Linked DNA regions of Rhinolophus ferrumequinum. The protein of the gene in region 1 interacts with the protein of each later gene in a biochemical or structural test. Links are inferred from orthologs where the notes say so. Each region holds a gene or a part of one and is shown on either strand. Other genes may lie near its edges. The genes, in order: TLN1, ITGB3 and RET.

Region 1 (7,834 bases):
GAGGGAGGATCTAACAGCTCAGCCTCTAGCCTCGCCTTTCCTCCTTCGCCTCCCATCTCCTGCAACCCTGAGCCACCAGGACAATCATGCCCCTTCCCTTCTCCCCACCCAACCACGCCAGTAAAGAGGGGTTGAGGGTGACCCAAGCATCAGAATCACTTATTTATTTCTTTCCTCACCCTATCCCCTCACTGCATGAAATGTTCAAGGAGGTAAGTTCATCCTCCCAGGCCCATTCACAGGGTGATAGGCATCCATGGGTACAAATAAAAGACCCAGAAAGTTGGTTAAGTGTGGTGTGTTTGAGCCCTCAGGCTTCCTGACAGGGCACAGGAGCTGAGACCAGCCCTCTCCCGTTCTTTTTCATTTGGACACGACTGGAGGCATCAGGCCTCACAACTAGCCTGAGTATCTGCCCTGCAAGATAACAGATACGGGGCTATGGGTTGGGAGCCATCCCATCTCTCTCGTGTGATTTGCATGCAGGGAAAGGATGGGACCAGGGCAGGAGGACTCTGAGAAGGGGCCAGGGAGTGGCAACTTCAGGGAAGGCTCTGTGCCAGGAGCCTGAGGCATGTAGAACAGGCAGCAAGAGTTGCCAGGAGCCTGGAGCTCGTCGTATGAGCTGTCCTTCGGTACCGCCGACTGCAGGGCAGGCAGCTCCAGCTGGTGAGGGTCCTCACTAGGGAGGGCACGAAGCTGGCGGGATAACACTGAGGAGACAAAGACTCTTCAGGAGCAGGCCAGGCTTTCCCCCCCAGACTCCCCTTAATGGTATCAAGCCTCTCACCTCCGTGCTCAGCTGGCAGGCTCCCCCTTGCGTCCGAGGAGTACATAGCAGGTACAAGGAGGAGACAGAAGGAGAACAGTAGGACCTGGAGCACAGGAAAAGGAGATGAAGAAGGGCTCTGGATTGTACCCGTGTCCCTGCCACCTGAGAGAAAAGGATCTCTTCTTCCATCACCGTCCTCACCAAGACACAGGAGCTGCTGCTGCTGGTTTTGTTTGATATCTGAATCACCATGGCCTGGAGTCGCCTTAACTGATCCAGGAGAGACCTAGGACAGAGGACAGTGAGCAGCCTGTCACCTGGCACCTGAGACACAATGAAACCCTCCTATAAAGGCCACCCCTCCATCTGTGCACTAGGTCCTCTTTGTTTTTTTTTAAGCAGGAGAAAATGTTTAATAACGTATACCCCATGTATACACGAGACCCAGAAGCTCTAACTCGCTTGTTTTTTGTCCTATTTTTGCAAATAGGACATTTTGTCCTCTCTGTGGACAAAATGCCTGAAGTTCCTCATTAAAACAAATACACACCTCTGCCCTGCCCTGACTTAAACTCTTGCAAAGTCAGTGGTTCTATACTGCCTAAGTAGCTATGCACATAAACCTCACCAGGCAGCCTACATTCTCTCCCTTCTGTCCCAACTCACCTATGTTAGGATTCCAGCCAGACTAACCTGTGCTGTGTTCTCTCTCCCTAAAATGTTCCCCCCCCCGCCCCCCCCCCCCCCCCGAATCCTATCTACTACCAAATGCCATCTGCCCTGTGAGGTCTTTCTTACTCCCTCCTTTTGTCTTTCTTGATACTTAACTCATCCTTAGTTACTTGTGAATTTAATCCCCATTACTGTGAGCGTCTTAGAATCAGACCCACTAAAGGCCATACACCAGACCTTGCATGTGGGAGCTGCCCAGTTGGAAATCAAATGTAGAGCAGGGAAAAGAGTGAAAGCTCATTAAATGGGAGGGATGAGAAGAGACTGAGGTTAGTTGCTTACAGATTCTGTTCTTCCAGGAGCTGTACTTTGTTCTGTAGCTCCAAATTCTGGGCTGTGTATTTCAAGACCCTGGGGGAATAACAGGGATGTGGGGATATGGCCTGTATCCTCCCTTCAAAAACATATCACTTCCAGCTACTTCTGTTCCACCCACCCCAGAGCCCCTCTCCTGTTTATACCTGCTCTCTAAACTCCCCAGGTACACCTTCTTCTTCCTGCGGCTCTCTTGAGCAGACTTTTTATTGCGAATCTTCCTCCGCACTCGTTTCAGAACTTGTTCCTCCATCTGAGATAATACAGGGAAAAGGGGTATCATCACAGAACACTGGACCAAAGAGTTGGAAGGCAACTGAGTAATCTTGCCAATGCACGAATCCCTTCTACAGCTTCCTTGACCAGTAGGCACTTGGCTTCTGGCTAAATGCCTCTGAGGACTAGGTGTTAACACCCTCATAAGCCAGACTATTTTTAACAATTTTATTAATTAAAATTAATCTTCCCTATCCTGAGCCAGTATCTGCTTCGATAATTCTATCCATTGGACTTACCTCATACCTAATCTCGGGAGCTATACAGAACAAATGGTCTTCAGCTATTTTAAGACACTCAACATTTCCTCCAAGCAAAGATAAATCTGGGCAACTTTTTTGGGGGGTGGGATAAAATATTTAACTCATCATCTTACCTCCTCAGGATGGACTGTGTCCTTTTACTCCTTTTACTATCTGTCAAAGATCTGGACTCAAAACTTGGCACTAGGATATGCTCTGACCAGTATAAAGGAGAGCAAGATAGTCACTGCCCTTCTAGAGGAAATACCTCTATTGATACAGCCTCCAAACCCCATTCACTTTCTTAGTGACCATATCACACTGCTGACTCATCTTGTACTTTTAAGAAACTCTTTTAACCTTTCTGTCAATGAACATTGATCTCATCACAGTATCACAATATTATGCTTGCGAGACTGCCACCCATTGCTTCTTGAAACTTAAAACTCAAGATTTTACGTTTATTCTTGTTATACTACTAAGTCCAGTCTTGAACTCTAAAACTTAATTCGACCTTTCAGCTAGATAGATATGGTAATCCACCTAGTGAAATCTAAATGTCAGAGCCCCTTGCTTGCACAGTCCTTTCCAAGTCCCTATACTAACTAATGCACTGGTAATTTTGAATTCTTTCCTACAAAGAATACCAAAATTTGTGTAAGCCCCACAAAACCAGGATCTGCCCCTGCATCCAGTATATAACTACATCCCCCGGCTTCCTATTAGCAGCAAATTTGCTTAATTTCTCACTTTCGTCCTTTAGTAAGTTACTGATGAAAAATTAACAGAATTGGACTACTTGGGACTCAATCCTCACCCCTCCAGTCTTTGATCCACCACTGGGAGTCTTACCTTAGTGAGAGGAAATGTCTCTGGCAGAGTAAGCCCCTCCTGCTCCAATAGCCTCTTTTCCTCATCTGTCAGTATCAGCCTAACAATCTCCTGGGGTTACAGAAAGGTGGGAGGCAGAGTCACAAGGGAGCATGTCAGAGAGGAATGAGGAATCCTGTCTGCAATGTGGGAATAATGTGCAATGTGGGAATAATCCTCCAGTAAACAAAGTACCTGTTCTGCGGGCTCCTCCACATGTAGGGGTGTCATCTGGGCCTCCTCTTTTCCAGAACTCCCACTATCTGCAAAAGGGAAAGTGAATAGCCAGGTTCATGAGTCCCTTCCTCCCCTCAAAATTCACTTATTTCAGACTCACCTAGATCTATAGAAACATGTTCCTGTGGGAGAGAATAGGTGTGGTCATGATGGACCAGACAGGGATTCGAGCTGTTGAGAACGTTCGACGATGCTGGGAAACTCGTCAGGCAGCTCAGGAAATCCTCTACATCCCAATCGCTCAGTGCCTGAACAGGATTCAAATTAACAGGCCTTGACCTACCACCATCCTCAAGAACACCCCGCCCCCCACCTCCCGGGCTCAGAGCCCCCGCCCACCTCGGAAATCGGCAACTCCCAGTCCAGTGGAGCCTCGAAGGACGCATCGGACGCCACCCCCAAATCTCCATTTTCCTCTAGTAGTAAGGCCAACAGGTCCTGGTCACCCGGGTCCAACGCCAAATCCATATGGGCCACCTACAGAAAGAATGGGCACAAGCGCAGGAGTTCACCCTTCCACCCGGCCCCATGCACGACCCTCACCGATTGTGAGTCAGCCCCACCTATCCGCTAGTCCCTATTCGGCCGGCTTTCCCCGTAGCTACTAGTCGTAGCTCTCAAACAAGACCCGCCACCGAGACTCGGTTCTCCGCAGCTTCCAACACAACGGAAGTGACACGCCTACCCCAAAGCATCCCGGGACTTAAAGTTCTCTCTAAACGCGGAAGTGGCTTAGGTGCCGCGCCACGTCCCGGGAGCTATGCAAATACAGGGGAGGTCCCTGCTGCTTCCTCACACCCTGAGGGCGGGCATTCTGGGGAGCCGGCGCCGCCTTTGCCCCAAGCTAGAATAAGGAAGGATCAGACTCCAAAGGAACTGCGGTGCAGTTCGGCCGTTTCCCCGGGACTGCGCCGCACCCTTGCTTCCTGCGGGGGAGGGCCAGACGGTCTTCAGCGCGCTCCCGAGCATCGAGAGCTGGGGCCAGAGCAGCTTCCTGCCGTCCCCCGCAACCATAGAGCGCGGGCCCAGGGCGCCGCCCGCGGGTGGGGGACGTTCCAGGGACGGAAGTGGCCGAGAGTGCCGAAGGGAGGGCGAGGCCGGAGCCCGAGAGCCATCGGGAGAACAGACGGGCTAGCGGGCCAGCGGGCGGGGCACAAGCCGGGCAGCTCAGGTAGGCTGGACTGGGCCAAGGGGGAGTCTCAAGGTGGGGCCTCGAGGCCAGGCCGGGGAGGCGGGTGGGCAGGCGGGGCCCCTAACTCTCCTGCGTCTCCTGTTTCGGGTCTTGTTGGAGGGGTCAGCGTCCAGTGCATCCGGGGTTGGGCTCGGAGTTAGGTAGGCCGTTTTGCGGGAGCCAGGCCCTTCCTGGGAGCAGTCTTCTGTCTGGGATAGGTTTTGGGGAGGATGAGAAGTAGGGTGGTAGTGAGGTGCAGGGTGGGGATCGGCTTTTGAGGTTAGCTGCTAGGAAAGCGTTGGGTGAGTTTGGGATTAGGTGAAATTAGATTTAGGAATCAGGTTAGCTTTAGGAGTTATAGAGCCAGGGTTGAAATTTATAGTTATTAGCCTGAGCCAGGTCCCTTTTATATAGATAAAGTTTGGATTAAGGTCATTATTTTGTTTTCTAGGATGGCCAGAGTAAGTCAAAATTAGAGTTCAGGGTCAACAACAGGAATTAGGTTAGAAGTTCAGTTTCAGGGATTAGAGAACCGTGGCGTATTAGGGTCAAACAGTGAAGGGATGGGTCAGGAATCAACTGACAAATGAGCTATAGGTTTAGGAGTCAACATTTACGGTTAAGGTCAGAGGATCTAGTGCTAAAGGTAAAAATTCTATCAATATTAGGGATCAGGGATTGGATACAGGTATCTTCCCAGGAAGGGATGAATGTCAAAACCGGTATTGGGAAACAGGAAACAAATTAGGGTCAAGGTTAATATTAGAAATTAGGGGCAGTTTTAGAGGTGGTGGTTGAGGTTAGGGTAGTGACTTCAAGCAGGTAAAAGTTACAACATTGGCAGTAGGTGGATGTCCTTGTTTTGCGGTGGTGAAGTCTCTTTTTCCTATGTAGTTGCAGGGGCTTCTTTGACCTAGAGAAATGACAAACTAATTTCACGCCATAGTTCTGGACTTCAGCTAGAATTGCAGGCATCTGGGATTCCACCTTCTTTATTCTACTCTCTAAGCCAAAGGCTCTTGCTATGGCCACCACATTTGAGAGGCAGGGGTTCCCAGACTATGTTGTTTACAAGATAGGAGGTGGGAGACAGGTCAAGGCCTAGTCATAAGTGGGGGACCGCCTAGGGGAGAAGGGACGGGTGACTAAGAGGGAAGTAGAGCAAGGAGACACTGTTGCCAAGGGAAGAAAGGGATGACTGAATCCTCTCAAAGTTCAGCCCCACTGCCTCCTATTTCCTTCATTATCTAGATATTAAGCCCTCCTCTCCAACTCTTCTCCCTGGCCCTGCATTTCACACTCTTCCTGCATATTCCTTTACAGAATACTTACCTTGCCTTTAATTCTCCCATGTTCATCTTACCATCCATTCCTAGCCTCAGGTCTGCCTCCCTTCCTACCTGTTAATCTACACATCCTACCTTAATTTACCTTCACCCAAATCCGAGCTTTCCCATTATTTTACAGCACTCTCCCACCATTTTCACCCACTCATTCACCTGTATACCTCTTAGTCATTTGCTGAATACCCCACCCCCAGCCCAACACAACTGGCAAGTACCCCTCATCCCTGCTATGTGCCATTCCCTGATTCTAAGCCTCCTTAATTTCTTGGTCCTGTTGTAGATCCCCTTCCCCCACTCCCTAAACAGAAAAGAGGAAATGAGACCCAAAGAGGAAACTGGGTCTTGCTGATCCCACGCCCAGGCAGGCCACTGACCACACCCCCTTTTACTCCCAGCCTGACCCTGCCATTGACCACAGCACTATCCCCTACCCAGCCTGATGCAGCCACTGGCTGCACCCCATGCCCTGCCCCACCCCAGCAACTCCAGCTTTACTTAGACACTACCAGTGTCCCTTTACTCTCCCTCCATCCCAGCCTTCCTAATTTAGCTCCTGACCACAGCCCATCTCTTCTCAGCCTCCTGTAGCCTGACCTAGCCTCTGACCTCACTTCATCCTTCCCTGACTTAGCCACTGTCCACAGAACTATTCTTCCTCTTCCCCAGCATAAAGTGGTGACTGATTACATATGTATTTTTTCCTACTGCCATCTTACCCCACGTTTCTCGGTACCTTGTCTTCCCCATTTCCAGTCCAGTTCAGTAACTAACCTTATCACTTCTTTTTTAATTTTAAAAGGAGGCATGTGTATGCATTGTATTTTTTAAATTAATTTATTTTCCAATTACAGTTGGCATACGATATTATGTTAGTTTCCAGTGTGCAACATCGTGATTAGGCATTTATATACTTTACGAAGTGACCACCCCATAAGTCTAGTACTACTTGACACAGGATACTAACCTCATCCCTTTTGCTCCTACGTGGTACCGTCCACATCCCCACCCCCTTTTTCCCACAGCCTAACCACATCCCCTAACCACAGCTCATCCTCACATTCGCAGCTCACCCTGATCCTTTCTTTCCCCCTTCCCAGTTTCTTACCTAAACTCAAGCTATCCCAGCCACTGAGGGGCCACTAATGACAAGAAGCCTGACTTTGGGCCCTGGGCCCTGAGGGGTGACAGGACAGGCTGTCATGAGGTCCTTTTAGTTCTATGTCTTAAAGTTTCCAATGAGTGACATCCTTCTCTCCACTATTCTATTTCTGGCTTCATTACCCCCCACTTGTGCTAATGCAGTGTCCTTCTAACCAATCTCCAAAGTAATTGCCAATTATTTTCCTAAAATCCAGTTCTTGTGATGTCCCTTCCCTGCACACAGCCTCCCTTGGCCTTCTGTTGCCCTCCAGGAGGTAAAATCCCTCATACTTCTCTCTAGTCCTCCCTTGCCTTTCCATCCTAACCCTAACTGCTCCATTGCAGGTACCCTGTGCTTCAGCCAGCCTGTCTGCTCACTTCTTGAATGTTCCTCCATGGTTTCCTGCTTCTCCACCTTTGCTTATGCTATTCTCTCTGCCTGGAATGCTACCCTTGACTCATCTCCGGCTGATGTAGTGGAGAGAGCTTGGGCTTTGGAGTCAGAGAGACCTGGGTTCGGATCCTGGCTTCATACCTTATTAGCTGTGTGATTTTGGACAAGTACCTTGAACAAATTTTTAACTTCTTGGAGCCTCCGTTTCCTAATCTGTAAAACTGGAAATAATGACGCCTACCTTGCAGGGTTGTTGTAAGGATTGCCGAAATTATGTATACAAAGCAATGGACATATAGTCAATAAAAAGATCACTATTATTTTTTATTATCTTTATTT
Region 2 (8,370 bases), on another chromosome or scaffold:
TAAACAACAATGAATTTAGACAAAATATTTAAGAAACCCCTTTTGACACTGAACATAGGCAAAGCAGAATTACAGGCCTCAAGGGAAGAGAAACATGTGAGGTGAGCCCTACATCTCCCCAGCTTTCTGCCTGGGGGAGTTTTCTGGATTGCAGTTCAAGAAGGTGGACCCTAAGAAGTGCATGATGGTCTCACTGAGCTGAACAGCATAGCTTAGAGTTCAGGGCTGCTGAGGAGGCTGTGAGTGGCAGGGAAGGCTTTCAGAGCGGGACGCAATGGACAGAGAGGTGCTCCCAGAAGTCTGCATGGGTGTGCCCCAGGGTCTTTAGATGAGGGTTGGGCTGCACAGACATGTGGTTAGACTCTGTGAGGCTTTGCAGAGAGCAGTGAGAGCTGGAGCAGAGAGCTAGAGCAGAACACTAGAGGTTGCACATGGCTTAGAGATGTTGGTGTCTCAGCCCAGGCAAAGTGAAAAGATGTCACTGAACAACTCAAGTACTTAGGTGATACAGAAAGTTCACACCTTAGGAGTAAGGACCATGTTCTACAAAAAGAAACCACACCTTGGGCAGCCGATTGACTCAGTTGGTTAGAGTGCAGGTATCATAACACCAAGGTCGTCGGTTCGATTCCCACATCAGCCAGTGAGCTGCGCCCTCCACAACTAGATTGAAAACAACTTGACTTGGAGCTGATGGGTCCTGGAAAAACACACTGTTCCCCAATATTCCCCAATTAAAAAAAACAAAAAAACCAAACACACACACACACACACACACACACACACACACACACAAACAACCACACTCTAAGACTAAGGACAAAATAAAAAAAGACCAGTTCTGAAAAAGAGTAAAACCAAGCCTTGATCAAGATAATCTGCCAGTAATTTAATTGCCTAATAGAACAAAACTCAATACTTTTCAAGGGACAAAAGAGAGAGAGAGAAACAGACCCAGAGATGAGTCAGAATTCCCAGACTAGAATTTTAAAATAGCTGCTGTAAACACGTTTAAGGACTCAAGGGACCATGGAGACATAATGATCGAAGATACGGGGGAATCTCAGCAGAGAAACTGAAACTATAGAAGAGTCTGAAGGGAAATTCTAGAATTGAAAAATACAATGTCCAAAATATTCCCTGGATAGACTTTATATCATATTAGAGACGCAAAAGAAAGAATTGGGAAACTTTAAAAGAGATTAATAGACTATTTAATTAGAAAAACAAAGAAATGACTTAAAAAAAAAAAGAACTGCGCCTCAGTGGCCTGTGGGATATCTAAATATTTATAATTATATAAATATTTATAATAATAAATATTTAGATATATCTAAAATATGTGTAATTGGAGTTTTGGAAGATAAGGAGATAGCTAATGTGCAGAAAAAATATTTGAAGAAATAATGGCTAACACATTCCTATTTGGTGAAAAATATTAATAAATCAGTTATGTATCCAAGAGTCTCATCAACCCCAAACAAGATAAATACAAAGCAAACAGCATATATTTAACTTACATCAAGCTATTGAAAAACCAAAGATAAAGAGAAAACTTAGAAGCAGAGACAAACCTGGGACAACTTGAGCAGCAAAATTAATAATGATAGTAATGGATTGTAACCCAGAGAATACAGTAAATATCTATGAATTCATATTGATATAAATATATAACTGTATTTTTAAAATGAGAGGTAAAGGGCAACTCTTCTTTACTGTGGAATACCAATTAGTAGCTGTAGAAGGGAAAGGGAAATAGTATATAGCACTATTACTCAAACACCACAATAATTGATTTCAGTCAAGAACCACTGATGTATGCTAAAATTAGGGGGTAAAGGTATGGAGAGAAACAGGGTAGTTGCATAGAATTAAAGTATCTTCCCATAAAATATTTATTAATTACAGAGAAAAATAGTAACTTTATAGCAAAGAAAGTTGGTAGACACCATCTTAATCATGTGATCAAAGTTAACATTATAAGTAATAAGACATATTGTCATCACGTATCCTCTGAAATGATACACTAACAACACACATCATTTTTATGGTATTCTTGTCCGGAATGCCTCAATGCAATCATGAGAAAACATCAGACAAACCCATACAGAGAAAACAAAACTGGCCTAGACTCTTCGAAAGTGTCAAGGTAATGAAAGAAAAAGACTGAGAAAATGTCACAGATTGAAGGAGACTGAGGAAACATGATGACAATGCAGTGTGGGATCCTGAATTGGATGGATCCTGGAACCAGGAAAAAGATATTAATGGGAAAATTGGCAAAATTCAAATATTGAAGGTAGACTAGTTAATAATATTGTATCAATGTTAATTTCCTGTGTTTGATAATTATGTTATGGCAATATAAAATGTTAACATTAGAGGAAACTGAGTAGAGGATAAAAGGCGACTCTCTTTAGTATTTTGCAACTTTTCTGAAGTGTAAATGATTTCAAAAGAAAAAGAAAAAAAAAAACCAGATGGAAAAGAGAGGGGACAAGAATGTAAATGATGGCTGACTTCTCATCAGAAACAATGGAGGCCAGGTTGGGGTGGGACAGGGGGAGTGTGCCTCAACATTTTGCTCAAGCTATAGATGTAGTGGAGCTATGTCTTGTTTTGAGTTGCTTTAATGCATTGTATTAGGTTTTCAAACAGCATAAAGCTTGTTTTGACACATAACAACAAAAGAAACAATGGAGGCCAAAAACAGTGGAACCACGTCTTTAAAGTACTGAAAGAAAAAAACCTGTCAACCTAGAAATCCATTTCTAAGAAATATCATTAAAAATGAGGGTGAAATAAACACAGTTGAACATATTTGTTGTCCGTGGACCTTCATTGTAAAATTTTCTAAAGTAAGTTCTCCAGGGTGAAGGGAAATGAAATCCGATAGAAACTCAGAACTAGATGATGGAATGAAGAGCATCTGAAATGGTAAACACAGAAGGTGCCCCCAAAATGTATATACATTTGAAGAAAGAAAAAAAACTGTATTAAAATTTTAATACTCAACATATACTGATAACAATAGATGAATATAAGTAATGTGTATACATTTTTTGGCACCCCGGGATGTGTGTGTGTGTGTGTGTGTGTGTGTGTGTGTGTGTGTATAATCTGGCAAATAAGTAAATATCTAGGCAGAGATATAACCAGGCTACGTGAACTAGATTTTGCTCCATGGCAATAACGATGCTCTTGAAATGGCTTCTAGCCTAGAGGCCCTCCACCAGCTAGGGGAGGTACATGGAACTGGCCACTCAAAGCCCAGGTCAGGAAGCCCAGCTACTCTTTGTGGGCTGGCTCCTCCCCTGCCCCCTTGCACACTCCTAGTGACACTTCTGCTGATGTGTGTTAACCACTGTGTGTATCCTAGTGTTTGGGAGGTCTGAGGAGGGAATGTCCAGCTCTGCAGAGATTGGGTTTGGAGGAGAGGGGCATCAGAAAAGATTACATGGAAGAGGTGACATCTGAGATGTTTTGATAGATAAGTGGAATTTTCCAGGTGGAAAAAGGAAGGAAGATCAGTCAGACAGAAAGGCATGGAGTGTTTGAGAATGCTAAATATCTTTTGGGGCTAGGTGGGAGATGAGGCAGAGAGCTGAGTCAGGGCCAGTTTTCAGGCATCTTGTGTATCTCAGGAAAGGGCTTAGGGAAGCCCAGGGGTACCCCGATGGTCCTGAGGGGAGCTCAGGAGCTGGAGAGATTTCCAGCTCCTTCCTGAGGCCTTACGCCTTGTTTTAGAGCTACCCATCCCACAGCCTGCACCAGCCCCAGCTACTCCTCCCCTCCCCCCACCCCCCCCCCCCCCCCCCCAGCTCACAATGCTAGCATTTTTGTCCCTTTGAGCTTCCTGAGGTTTCTAGTCTGGTGATGACCCAGAAGGGACCCAGAGAAAGGATTTGGGGAAAGGCCTTTGAGGAAAATGTGATAAAGCTCCAAAGCCTGTGAGTTTGAGTTTGGAGACAGTATACAGCAGTAGCCCCTTATCTGTAGTTTAGCTTTTCCTAGTTTCAGTTACCTGCTGTCAATGGCAGTCTGATATTAATATTAAATGGAAAATTCCAGAAATAAAGAATTCCTAAGTTTTAAATTGGGCACAGTTTTGAGTAGCCCCCCGCCCCCACCTGTTTGTCCTGCCAAGAATATGAATCACGCCTTTGTCCTCTGTCCCACATGTCCGGGCTGTATAGCACTATCCACCCACTCTAGGTTATCAGATAGATGGTGGCAGTATCACTGTGCTTCTGTTCAAAATAAAACACTTGTTTTATTTAATAGTGGTCCCAGAGCGCAAGAGTAGTGATGCTAGCAATTCGGACATGCCAAAGAGAAACCATAAAGTGCCTCCTTTAAGTGAAAAGGTATGCATATGTAGGGGGGAAAACACCACAAACCCAGTACATATAAGGTTTGTATTGGGTTTCAGGCATCCACTTGAGGTCTTGTAACCCGTCCTTCCCACCCGTGTGTAAGGGGACACTGCTGTACTGACTGTGTCCTTAAATGTTTATCATCTACCTTCTATAGGCAAGCAAGTATTTGTAGAGAGAGGCCCTTTATGTTCATAACTGCTTATACAAGCTTGAGATGTGGTTTTGTCCTCAAGAGGCTTACAGTCTACCTGAAAACCAAACTCACCCAAGAAAAAACTAGTGAATAATAAAGGACTAAACCAGTGCCTGACACCAAGTAGGCATTCAACAGATATTTGTCAATTAAATGAATGTGTGAATGAATGAAAGTCAAGGTACAGAGGAAAAGCCCCAGGATGCAGGTGAAAGAGAAAGCCGCGTGGATGTCCCCGAGGAGGTGGGAGTAAGTCAGGAGAGGACCACAGGCCAAGTGCTCGGGCGCGGACCCTAGAACCAGGATGTCTGCAGAGGATGCGCCCATGGCCTCGCTCGGATCCCAGCCTCGCCTCGCTTGCTGATCATGGCGGTGAGAGAGGCACCGCGTTTTCCCACCGCCCCCTCTCCAGCTCAGGGTCCAGAAAAGGGCCCTAGGGGAGGAAGCGCAAGTCCGTGGCCCGCCCCGTTGCGTCCCACCCACGGCGTCCCCTCCCCTCCCGCTGCGGGAAAAGCGGCCGCGGGCGCAGCTGCTAGCTGTGGAGCGGGCGGGCGCGGCCGAGGCGGAGCGCCGCGGCGGGCGGACGAGATGCGAGCGCGGCCACTCTGGGCCGCGGTGCTGGTGCTGGGGGCGCTGGCAGGCGTCGGCGTCGGAGGTGAGTGAGGCTCCGGCGGCCCCTACGCGGCTCTCGGGGGACCCGCGCCGCGCATCTTGCCACAGCCAAGTTTGCAGACTTGGAGCGGGGAAACCTGGCAAGCAGGTCCCGCGTGGCTGCGCTCTGAGTGCGCGGGGCCAGGATGGGGCTGTCGGAGCCCGCAGCTGGGGACCTTCTCGGTCCCTGGGTGGCAGGGCGAGGGGCTCCCTAGGGGTGGGTCCTCCGGGACGCCGAAGCCATTCGCCGGGTTAGGCGCCAGTTCTGGGCGGCCTCGACGTGCGTAGTGCGGTGGGCCCATCCGTGAGCCCCGCGTTCAGCCCCGGGCTGCGCTCATCACAGGTGTTCAGGACAGTGCGATGAGAGACTGGCCCTGGTAGCCAGGGCGAGCTGGGGTTCCCCGGGGCTGTTCCCGTGCGTTGACTGAGGGATGGGCTTGTAGCTTCTCGGATGAGAGTGCGTGCGTGCGTGCAGGTTTGCCAATTAATCCACATTCCTCTTTTTCCTTGTGTTACATTTTCTCCCGTTTATTATTATTTTTAAACTTTGGTGACTCCCTGCGGGAGCGATTCGGAGGAGCATGACGGCTCTGCCTCCTACAGTGTTCCCGGGTGGTAGCGGTGTCTCTGCTTCCGGGACAGACCTGCATCCGAAATATCTCCAGTGTATGCGGGGAGCCACGCCAGGGGTCCCTGAAGCTGGCTTGATTCCCTGGCTTTGTCTCTCCTGCTGCTGCACTCACTATCAGCGGCCAAGGCAGTTGGCATTCGGCTTCATTGGTGCTCAAAAGCGGGCAGAGCCCAGCACAACCTTGGGCTGCTGCCGTGGTTCTTCCCGAGCTCTGGGACCTTCCCGGGGAGGTCTCGGACGCCTAGTCCGCTGGGGTGTTCTCCAGCAGAGGATGTACTTTCTGTGAAAGGAGGGCTACTCATCGTGAGACAATTTAAATCCTGAAGAAAGTATTTTTTTTTAAAGTAAGATGTACTGATAAATCCAGAAATAGTTTGATAAATGCCTTCAAGACTTGTATATGTGTGTGTGCGCAGGTGTAAGAGATTATACAGGACAGCGTAACAATATCTTTTTTTAAAAAATCACTTTATTGAGGTATGATTGACATACAAAAAGCTGTATATATTTAATGTATACAACTTGATGAATTTGGAGAGATGTATACAGCCCTGAAACCATCACCACATTCTATGAGCAATATCTTGATGGAGGAGTTATAGATAATAGATAGGGGGCTATTTAAGTTGTTGTTGCTGAAGCTTCCCAAGTGATGGAAGCTCAAACAGGTCAACTGATGTCTTTCGCCTGCAGTGAGCAGCCTGATGACCATGGCACAGAAGTATGAGTGTCCATCATTCCGCCCTGGGAGGTGTAGAGCCCTGGCTCAGATGCTGCCTGCTCTTGGTGGGGGTAATGGAGAAATACAGAAGGGCAACTCAGATGTCTGCCACGGAGATGCTAGCTTCTAGGAACTTAAAACATTTTTTTGCTTTCTTTTCTTTTCACAGCCACAGCTTTCTGAATTTCTGGATGATTTCTGAGTCTAATCCTTATATTTTCTTCCAGTTTTAGAAGTAAGGTAACATAAGGTAGAGCCTAGCATGGTTCATGGCTCAATATTAGTGAAGATGAAGAATAGATATGTTGTTTTGGTGTCTCTCTCTTTCCTTCTCTCAACCTTAGTATACCTTTCGTTGACCTGATTTACACAGTTGTAATAATCTACATAGAATTCCACTGCATTGACATACCTAAATTTGCATTAAATATAATCTAGGCGATCGGTTCACAGATTTGTTATGATCAGGGCAGTTTCAGCAGCAGTGATGGGTTGTGCTGAGCTAGTCCTAAACTCTCTCTGAGAAGCAGGGTAGTGGAGTGTTTAAGAGCATGAGCTCTAGAATCAGACCTCCAGCGTCATGAGTCCCCAGTAAAAGCAGATCTGATTATATTTAAGTCACCCATGCCAGTGTTGGTGGCTGGGTTGCAGGTGTCATCAGATCCCTGGAGAAGCAGGTGGTAGGATGAGAGTAGGAGAGTTGTGTTGGGACATACAGTGTTGAAGGGGCACAGAAAGGGCTGGGTGGGGGTGACACAGAGACACTGCCCGGGAATGGGACATTCTGGTATGGGGAGAAGAGGTTGTCTGAGGGTAGAATTGCGTTATGGAATTTATGTACAAAGGTGATCTTTTTAGCTGCACCCAAGAAATATGGGGTTTTGTGGTTTCCCCATAGATAGGTCTTTATTCTAACCTGAGATCTAATGGATAACAAGTTTTGTTTGCTATCACCATCTAAGTTGATTAGTTCTGAGATGAGGTGCTGATTTCTCCTCCTGAGTTTATATCCTGGGGAAAGGGAGAGCTATGGTTTAAAACCGGTCAGATGTGGGTTTAATTCTTGATTTTGCCTGTTATTGGCTGTGTGACCTTGGGCAAGTTACTTAATCTCTTGGGTCTTTAGTTTCCTCATCTGTAAAGCAGAGAAAGTCATACTTCTATGATTATGTCAGTTACATGAGATAAAGGCACAAAATAAGTATTAATAAATGGCAACTGCTGTTGTCATTATTTTTCCTGTCCATGGTATGTGCCATGTATTGAAGGCAAGAGCTGTTAACTGCTTCATGCATGAGTGCAATCCAGGCTCCCAGAATGAGCCCAGTGCGGTCCCTTTCCCCACACCCATGGGGTTTTCAACCCATTCCCTGTTGGTGGCTTGGCATATCTCAGCTACTCTGGCCCAACAAGAACCCACAGAAGAGGCCAAGAAAGAGTGGCTAATACATTTGCTTTATCCATGAGAAAACCTTAAATCTTGTCTCTGGGAAAAGAGGAAAATAAAAGACATCTACCAGATTTCAGGTTCCACGAGGAGAAGGACATGTCTGTTTGATAAACAGCCTGTGCCTAGCACCTGGCACATAGGCAGCAAAGTAAATATCTGTAGAATGCTATGAGAAGGCATCTAGAGGTGATGCGCCTCACTTCAAGAAACTCAATATTTGACTATCAGCATTCATTCCGAGAAGATTCTCAAATGCTCCCTCTGGGCATTCTGCAGGCTATTGGAGTACAGCTGAGGCCATGAATTCTTTGGGTAGACGGATCTCTGCACTATTGCACCATTTAG
Region 3 (7,650 bases), on another chromosome or scaffold:
TCTTTGCCTCAACTCCTACAGCCGATGGGAATCAGGAGGGACAACTCATTGGCTGTCTGGGGATTCACGTGTCATCGGGCACCTGGGGGAAGGGGACTCTGCTTTCCCATTGAGGCCCAGGGACATTCCAGGTCACACAGACAAGAGACAAAGCCAGGACACAGCTCAGAGCCCACCTGCAGCCTTCACAACATGCCACTGCCCTGGCCTCCCAGCCAGACAGCTCCCTGGACTTTAGAGGACGCTGAAAGAAGAGGGAGGAAAACGCCTCCTGAGCCAGGAACTGTGCAGATCCTGCTAATGCACCATTTGGGTGTGGCCTCACAACACTGCGAGGCACTAACCGTATGACATTCCCAGGTACAGATGAGGAAGCCGAGTCCCAGGGACACAGTTAGCCTGGTTCTGGGGCTAGGTGAAAGGAATAGAGCTGAGATTCCTCCTCGAGAAGAGGGAAGCGGAGGAGGCATGAAAGGAGAAGGCAGAAAAGCAGAGAAGGGGAGGGAAAAGGGAGAGGAAAGAAATTCAGAGGAGACAAGTCTGTTGTGGGGTCCATGGAAGGGTGAGTTGGGGCAAAGAGTTGAGGTCAGGCCTTCCAGGTGGAGGTGGGCCCTGTCTGAGCCTCAGGGTCTCTGACAGTATGCAGGACACAGTTGCTCCTGCTCTGGAGCCCTGGGCGGTCTGGACAAGGCAGCCCAACTGAGACTGGCCTGCCTGAGCTAACACCCAGCTACTGGTCAGGCCTGAGGAGGGTCCTCTCATTGGCCAGGCTGAGGTCCTGTCTTCAAATACCAGCTGTGTGTGAGAGGAAGGCAGGCAGGGCCTCCACACAGTCAGGGGAAGGATGTTCCTGAGTCACACCTTGGAGCCCCAGCCTGGTGTGTTGTGTGTTATGGGGACAGCATATTTGAAATGGAGGTAAGTGGATGGGGAGCCCCACGGTGGGCCCTCACAGCCGGCTAGTGAGCACTGGCTCTCCTTGCAGCTGCACCTGGAGGACAGCAAACAGACATGCCTGTACCTTAACACCCAGTGGAGTGACAGTGCAGCGGTTTATTACCTCTGCTTACAGAGGGGAAACTAAGTAAGCAAGCAACTAGCTACAGTACACAGTCAGCTTCAAAGCCCCTATGCTTCCAGCCTCTGTGTCACACTGCCTGAGACCCCCTCCCGGACCCCCTCTGACCACATCTGGCCCCAGGCAGGGGCCTAACAGGCCTCAGTCAGCAGTTCCTGGAATAATGTCTAGCCTTTTAGTGCCTGCAGGATTGGGCTGTGCTGCTGGCTTTGTTTCCTCGTCCCTGTAAGGTCCCTGGGGCCAGGATTTCCTATCCTTACACTCAGTCTCCACTCCTAAAAGCAGACTTTCTCCCTGAGTTGCCACAGCCACCTGGGTCCATGATCACAGAGCACCCTGGTCCATGATCACAGAGCACCCTGGTCCATGATCACCAGCAGCTCCTCCCCACCTGGACAAGCCGGCACCAGATGGGATCCCTGTCTGTGCTGTCCCTTCCCTGAGCTGTCTTTTGGGGCCAGACCCAAGGGGCTCCAGGTAGGCCTCACCTGCTCAGAGGCAAGGAATGCTGCAGGAATAACCTGTGAGTTGCCCGCCCATGGAGCACCTTATCCTGTGCTGAGAGCAAGGCCTCACTAACACTATTTCAGTCATTCCTCCCAGCCATCCAGATGGGGGAGCACTATTTTAGCCCCCATTTTAGAAATGGCAAAACCAGAGAGGTACAGTGATTTGTGCAATGTCACACGACTGTAAGTGGCAAAATTCAAACTGCTCTGACTCACTCCAAAGCAGAATCCCGTATCAGAACCTCTCGCGGGACTCTTTTTTAAGATGTCGATTTTTATGGAGGTGGAGCCCCGGAATCTATGATAAAAGGGGGGCTGTGGGCAGGGGTGGGGAGCACTGACAACACTGGGATGTACCCCCCTTACCCAGCTCCTAGAGAGCTTCTCAGTGCCTATGGAAGCCCATGTCCCTCAACAGGGCAAGGATGAGAGAGCCAAGTCCCAAGCATAGGTATGGCTATGATTGATGGAGCACTCACTTGTGCCTGGCACTGAGCTCCACCCTCACACATACTCCCTTTTCTATCCTCATCCGTTCTGAGGGGGATGTTTATAGTTGGAAGCTGAGGCACAGAGAGAGATGACTAGGGGAAGCCAGGACAGAGAACAGGAACCTCCTGCAAACTCTCCCATGCAACTGTCCCAGGCGCCCCTAGGACAAAGTGGAGCAAAGGGAGGGGCTTCCTGGGGAATCAGACCAGCACCTTTGGATTCGGCTGAAGCTCAGGCTCTGACCTTGCCCTGTGGGACCTCAGGGAGGCTGCATTCATTTCCTCTTTGCTGGGAGAAGAAGCGCCTTCCTACCATTCTGATGTTCTGGATCTTAAGCCAATGCACAATCCTAGGCAGGGCTGAGTCAGCCCCCGCCCGTAGTCCGAAGCCAGCAAGCCCAGGACTTCACTCCTTTCCCCTACTGGGTGCCCTCCAGACAAGTCCCTGCGCGTGCACGTGGGGGAGGGTACACACCCAAGTCCATACATGTTAGTACATACATATGCACATATGCACACACATGTACATGTATGTGCAATGGTACAAATGTGAGGCTCCCCTGACACTGATCTAAAAGGAGGGCAATGCCCACTCCATAGTGTCAGGCATCTATTCAAGACCCCCAAGGGTGGAGATGGAAAGAGAGTGGGAGGGGGAGGGGGACCCAGGCAGGAGCACAGCCTCCGATGGGACACACAGAGCCAGCCAGAATCCAGCCTGTTCAGTGTCAGCCAAGGCCTGGCCAGGGTACTCCCTGGGAGGTACTAGGGTGGGGATGGTTGGAAGAATGGGTCAAGTCACCCCTCTTCCTTCTGCATTTTCCTGCCACAGGAGCCTGTTTGTAACAGTAAAGTCCCCCTCAGCCCCTCCCTTTCTACTCAGGTCCCTTCCCTGGGCACAGCCCCGAGTGTCCAGCCTTGGTAGCCATTAGCACCAGAAATAAGGGTCTATCTACAAACAAGGGAGCCCCGTGGCCACCAGCCCTATAAATCCGAGGGTGTGGGGCTCTGGGCATGTGAGACAGGCAGCACAAGGTCTGATGGCTGAAGGGGGGCTCTCCAGAGCCGGGCATGCTGTGCCCTGGCCTCTTGCCACAGGCCGGCTCTGGCCATCTCAGCTGGCAGAACCCCCAGCCATCCTGTCTTGGCAGCTCCTCCTCCTGCCTGCAAGGCTGACTTCACTTTGACTTCATATCTGCAGAGTGATGTGCAGACCTCGTATTCAGCCCTGAGCTTGGCCAGGCAAGAGGGTGGAGCCCCAGCCTCGTGTGCACAGCAGGAAGAAGAGACCCTGAAGGGCGCCCCCAAGGCCAAGGTGCGCTGGACCTTCCCACCCCAAGGCTTCCATTCCTCTGGCCCTGGTGGAGGCAGGACCTCAAAAGGTAGCTAGGGGGTAGGAGGAGAACGGTGGGTTTTTCCCACAGAGGTCTAGAACCCGTCTTCACCTCATCCCAGGAACCCCATGTTAAAGGTCCTGAGTTCCCCCTTTCTGGGATTGTATGTGTTTGTGGGTATCCTTTCTTTGGGCGAACATTACATTATTTGAGGCTCCTGTCCCTCCCTGCTACGCGCTCTCCAACTCAGTTCCACATCCAAAGAGCTCTTCTTTTAGGGGTGGCTACTCTCCAAGCACCCCACTAGGCCACCAGGACCAGGTCTGAGAAATGGCGGAGGATGCGCTCCGCGCCAAGAGCCTGGTCCCCAGGTCCGCTCGGGTGCATCCCAGCCAGGCTGCCCAGACCCCGCATCCCCGCGTGGTTTAATTGTCTCGTGTGGGAGGCGGGGAAGGGTGAAGGGTTGGTACAGCGAGGGCGCACAGGCTGAGAAAGAGTGGCTGTGCGTGCGGACTGGGCTGAGGTTGGCAGGCCAGCACCCGGCGCCCCACACCTCGCTCCTACTCCTGTTCCGCTTAGACCACACCCGCACCCCACGTCCAGCACTGGTCCGCTACTGGAGCCTTGCTGGTTCCGCACTGGGCGCTGCCGGGCGGGTATCCCGAGCCCCGCCCCTACCGCACCCGCTCGGTCCCTGGCCCCGCCCGGCCCGCCCCCCTGGCAGCGCCGCCCCGCCCCTGCCCGCTCCTCCCGCGCAGCCCGCGCCTGCCTTGCCTCAGTCCGGCGATCAGAGCCCGGCCCAAGCAGCGGAGAGCGCCCCGGTGTCGCGCTCCGACGCTCCGCGCCCGCAGTGTCCTCCGCGTCCGCCGCGTCCGCCGCGTCCCGGGCGGGATGGAGCGGCCCGGCTGAGCACTACACCCCGCCGCCTACACCCCCTGTCCGAGCCACCATCCTCTTGCCGCGGTCCCGGCGCACACGGGCGATGGCGAAGACGACGGCGGGGCTGCGGTGGCTGCTTCTGCTGCCGCTGCTCGGCGAAGGTAAGTCCTGCTGGCGGCCGGGGCCAAGTTGGAGTGGTGGAGTGGACGCAATCGAAAACGCCGTCCTGTTTGCGGCGGGCCGCAGGCAGCGCGTTTGCGGGCCGCAGGGGCGGGGCGGGGAGCGAGGTGGTGCGGCGAGCAGGGAGCCTCAGGCCCCAAGCTGGGCGGGTCGCGGGCTGGGCCCGGCGGCCGAGGTCGCTGTTCACGGTGCGAGCTGCAGCCGCGCGTCGCAGTCTGGTCGCGCTTGGACCGAAGCGGACAGATACTGTCGCCCTTTCGTCGCAGATAGCGCGGGACGGGTGAGATAGCCCTAGAAAGCCAGCGACCTGTGCACGGAGTTCTGTTTCTGCAAAAGATCGCTGCGTCCTGGTTTCCTTTCCGCGCTCCACGTCGGTTCATTCCTCCTCCTGCCGTGATCCCCTGGCCCGCAGTGGGGTGAGGAGGGGATCTCCTCTTTTATAAAACGTTGCTTTTCCCTCGTGAGTTTTTTGCCGCCCAAATCTTTTTAAAAAACCTAAAAGCCTGTGGTTTCTGGGAAGCCTGCCCTCGATGGCCCACTCAGACTGGCCCAGCGCAGCCCACGGAGGGCCCACCGCGGTCGAGCCTCACCAGGCAGGCTTTTTAAGAGTCGCACGCCGTTGCCAGGCAGGGGCATCTGAAAGTGCGGCCTTTGGGACCGTATGATGGCTCTGGGTCAACATTTAATAAGCACTTTTGACCATCTTGGAGTAGGGTGTAGGGCCGTGTGCCACCAGTGTTGGTGCTGGGAGCATTAGATATGCTCTTGCAAAGGCTGGTCACCACCCCACCCCCAAACCCTGACAGGATGAACCCCAAGGCGGTAGATAGAATCTTTACTCCCCTCGGCCATGCATTTTACTTCCGTTCAAACCGTCCCTGACTGATCCCCTCCTGCTGTGCTTCTGAATGAAGTTTCCCTCAAAGAGGGAAACAGCCCTGGCTACCTCCCCAACACTACTTACAAAGGGTTTTCTCTCCCTATGGCCTTTGGGGACAGAAGAGGCCGTGGCACCCTGTGTCTAGGCCCAGGTCCTGCACAGATTCCGGGTTCACAGGCCTGCGCAAGGCTTCGTTTGTGTGACTGGATCCCAGTGTCAAGGAGCAGATACTGAAGCCAGAATCCTCAATGCGTCATAGAGAGGGCAGGGGAGAAGCCCTTTCTTTGCCGTGGGGATGAATGTGGGAAGGGAATCTGTTTCCAGTATTGGGACCCTGGGCTCAGTGCTGCTAGAGGAAGAGAGCAGGAGGCTGTGAATAGAGCCTGGGGGCAGCAGGGCAGAAGTAAACAGGAACAGGGTGTTATAGAGATCTCCTGTAACTCTTGGGTTGCAACTTTGTAATTGTGGACTTGTGGTCAGGTGTGAGCCAGAAGCAGTGTGCTGAGTGCAGCCTCAGCAGCCTTCAGAGGCTTTCCCCATACCATTCCACAGCCTTGTGCTTTAGCTGCTGTGCTCAGTGGAACTGTGGGGGGGCTGAACTGTGGGGGCTGGGCTGCAAGGGTGGGCCTGTGGCACTTGGCAGGAATAGGTGGCTTTTCTATCGCTGTGGTCCACAGAGTTGGGTGACCAAAGACAGGCTCTCCAATCCAGGGACAGTGAACCCCCAACTCTGCCCATCCTTCCCTTGGGATGACCAAGAAACCACGATTGGTGGCACTGAGAGTGGAGCGGTGGCCCCACACCACACAGGAAGAGACCGCCGAGGCCTTGGAGAGGCCTGTGGGTGCCCTCTACTAGGAGCAGCAGCCCTGGAACTGCCGGAGCCTGGGTCTCAGTGAGCCGCTCCCCGCTGCCACTAGCGTGCCTGCAGCTGCGCTTGGACCCGCCCAGGCGGGGAGCAGCGGGGCCTCTGGGCGCCCTCTTGTGGATGCAGCGCTCCAGTGCCTGACCTGTTGGGAGGAGGGGCTGGGTCTCTAGAGGATGCAGGTCATCCCCTGCTGGGCAAGATACCTCCCCAAGACCGGAAGCTCCCTTCGGTGCTGGGGGACTGACAGGAGGTGGGTATGGGAGGTGACTCGGAAGGGGTCAGTGGCCATGAGCAGAGAGCAGGGAAGGAGCAGCGAGCGCCGCCTCTGGGCTGGCAGGGGTGGGCTGGAGGACCCAGGGAGACCCAGAGCAAGGCCATGGAACATAGACACCCCCCCCAGCCTGCCTCCCCCTACTCTTATTGTGTGTAGCCGCACACACCTTCAAAAAAGGTGCCCACGCAGACACAGACTACCCGACAGGGCAGGACTTGCCTTCTCACCTACACCCTGGTATTTGTGTTCACACCCACACACACACACCCCCACATCCATTTTTGCACACACATGCTCACACTCATAGTCATCACCAGGACACACTCCTGCCCTTTCTCAAGGAGACATGTTCATGATACCTGTGGACACACACACTCCCCTCCTTGCCACTCACGCACACTGGGATCCCGCATATGCACACAGGGGCACTGGGCCCGCCCACCCCACCCCCAGCCATCAGCCCTGGCTATCTTTAAACCAGAGCTAGGGAACCTCCACCTAAGAGTTGTTCTTAGAAGAGTTTTTGGCCCTTTGCTGCTCAGCTCAGGTGCAGCCATCCCTGAGGCATAGATGAGGAGTGAGAATCCCGGCTCCTGGGACTCCACCTGCACATGTCCCCGGCTGACCCCTGTCCAGCACCATCTCCTTGGCCGCCTGCAACTCCTCAGCAGCATCACGTTTCTCATCTTCCTGGCCTGGCTTCTTAGGTCCCATTTTGCTCAGCCTTCTTGCTGTGAGGAAGGCCTGGGCAGCTGCTCCTGCCTGGACCAGCAGGTGTCTGAGTGGCCCCTGGCCAGGGAGGCTGCCCCACTTTCGGCTCCTCCCTTCTCTTTGGCCAGGGGCTAATAGAAGGTGGGTCCTGCTTCCCCAGGCTCTCCTGGGCCCTATCCTCTTACCCCACTCCCCGCTAAGTCCCTCTGGCCTCTGAGAGCTTGACCCAAACTGGCTGCCCTACACCCCAGCAGGGACCAACCTACCTGGGGACAGAGGCTGAGCCAGCTGGGGGGCTCCTTAGGGTGGAGCCTGAGAGCAGAGTTAACGGGAAAGTTTTGCGAGCCCATTGCTGAATTGTCTTTATTCTACAAAATCGCTTGAGGGATGGCTAACTAAATCAGTTTCCTTGGTGGTGTGAAGAAAATGGGACTCATTCACCTGAT

Evidence for each region.
Region 2: the proteins of TLN1 (region 1) and ITGB3 form a complex in vitro, tested with the Homo sapiens proteins (6 studies listed by BioGRID and IntAct, with this or other methods). The link is inferred for Rhinolophus ferrumequinum from reciprocal best matches to the Homo sapiens genes TLN1 and ITGB3.
Region 3: the proteins of TLN1 (region 1) and RET interact in a surface display test, tested with the Homo sapiens proteins (2 studies listed by BioGRID and IntAct, with this or other methods). The link is inferred for Rhinolophus ferrumequinum from reciprocal best matches to the Homo sapiens genes TLN1 and RET.

The regions. Positions count from the first base shown.
Region 1 is NC_046295.1:51,912,188-51,920,021, reverse strand, and holds the start of TLN1 (talin-1), read left to right. Parts: upstream 1-4,392; 5' UTR 4,393-4,615; intron 4,616-7,834. Other genes in the region: CREB3 (cyclic AMP-responsive element-binding protein 3), read right to left, coding at 400-713, 791-875, 974-1,058, 1,787-1,855, 1,966-2,072, 3,190-3,279, 3,403-3,470, 3,545-3,692 and 1 more. UniProt on the Homo sapiens protein: High molecular weight cytoskeletal protein concentrated at regions of cell-matrix and cell-cell contacts. Involved in connections of major cytoskeletal structures to the plasma membrane.
Region 2 is NC_046304.1:41,270,669-41,279,038, forward strand, and holds the start of ITGB3 (integrin beta-3), read left to right. Parts: upstream 1-5,071; 5' UTR 5,072-5,160; coding exon 5,161-5,227; intron 5,228-8,370. UniProt on the Homo sapiens protein: Integrin alpha-V/beta-3 (ITGAV:ITGB3) is a receptor for cytotactin, fibronectin, laminin, matrix metalloproteinase-2, osteopontin, osteomodulin, prothrombin, thrombospondin, vitronectin and von Willebrand factor.
Region 3 is NC_046299.1:67,027,655-67,035,304, reverse strand, and holds the start of RET (proto-oncogene tyrosine-protein kinase receptor Ret), read left to right. Parts: upstream 1-4,161; 5' UTR 4,162-4,394; coding exon 4,395-4,452; intron 4,453-7,650. UniProt on the Homo sapiens protein: Receptor tyrosine-protein kinase involved in numerous cellular mechanisms including cell proliferation, neuronal navigation, cell migration, and cell differentiation in response to glia cell line-derived growth family factors (GDNF, NRTN, ARTN, PSPN and GDF15).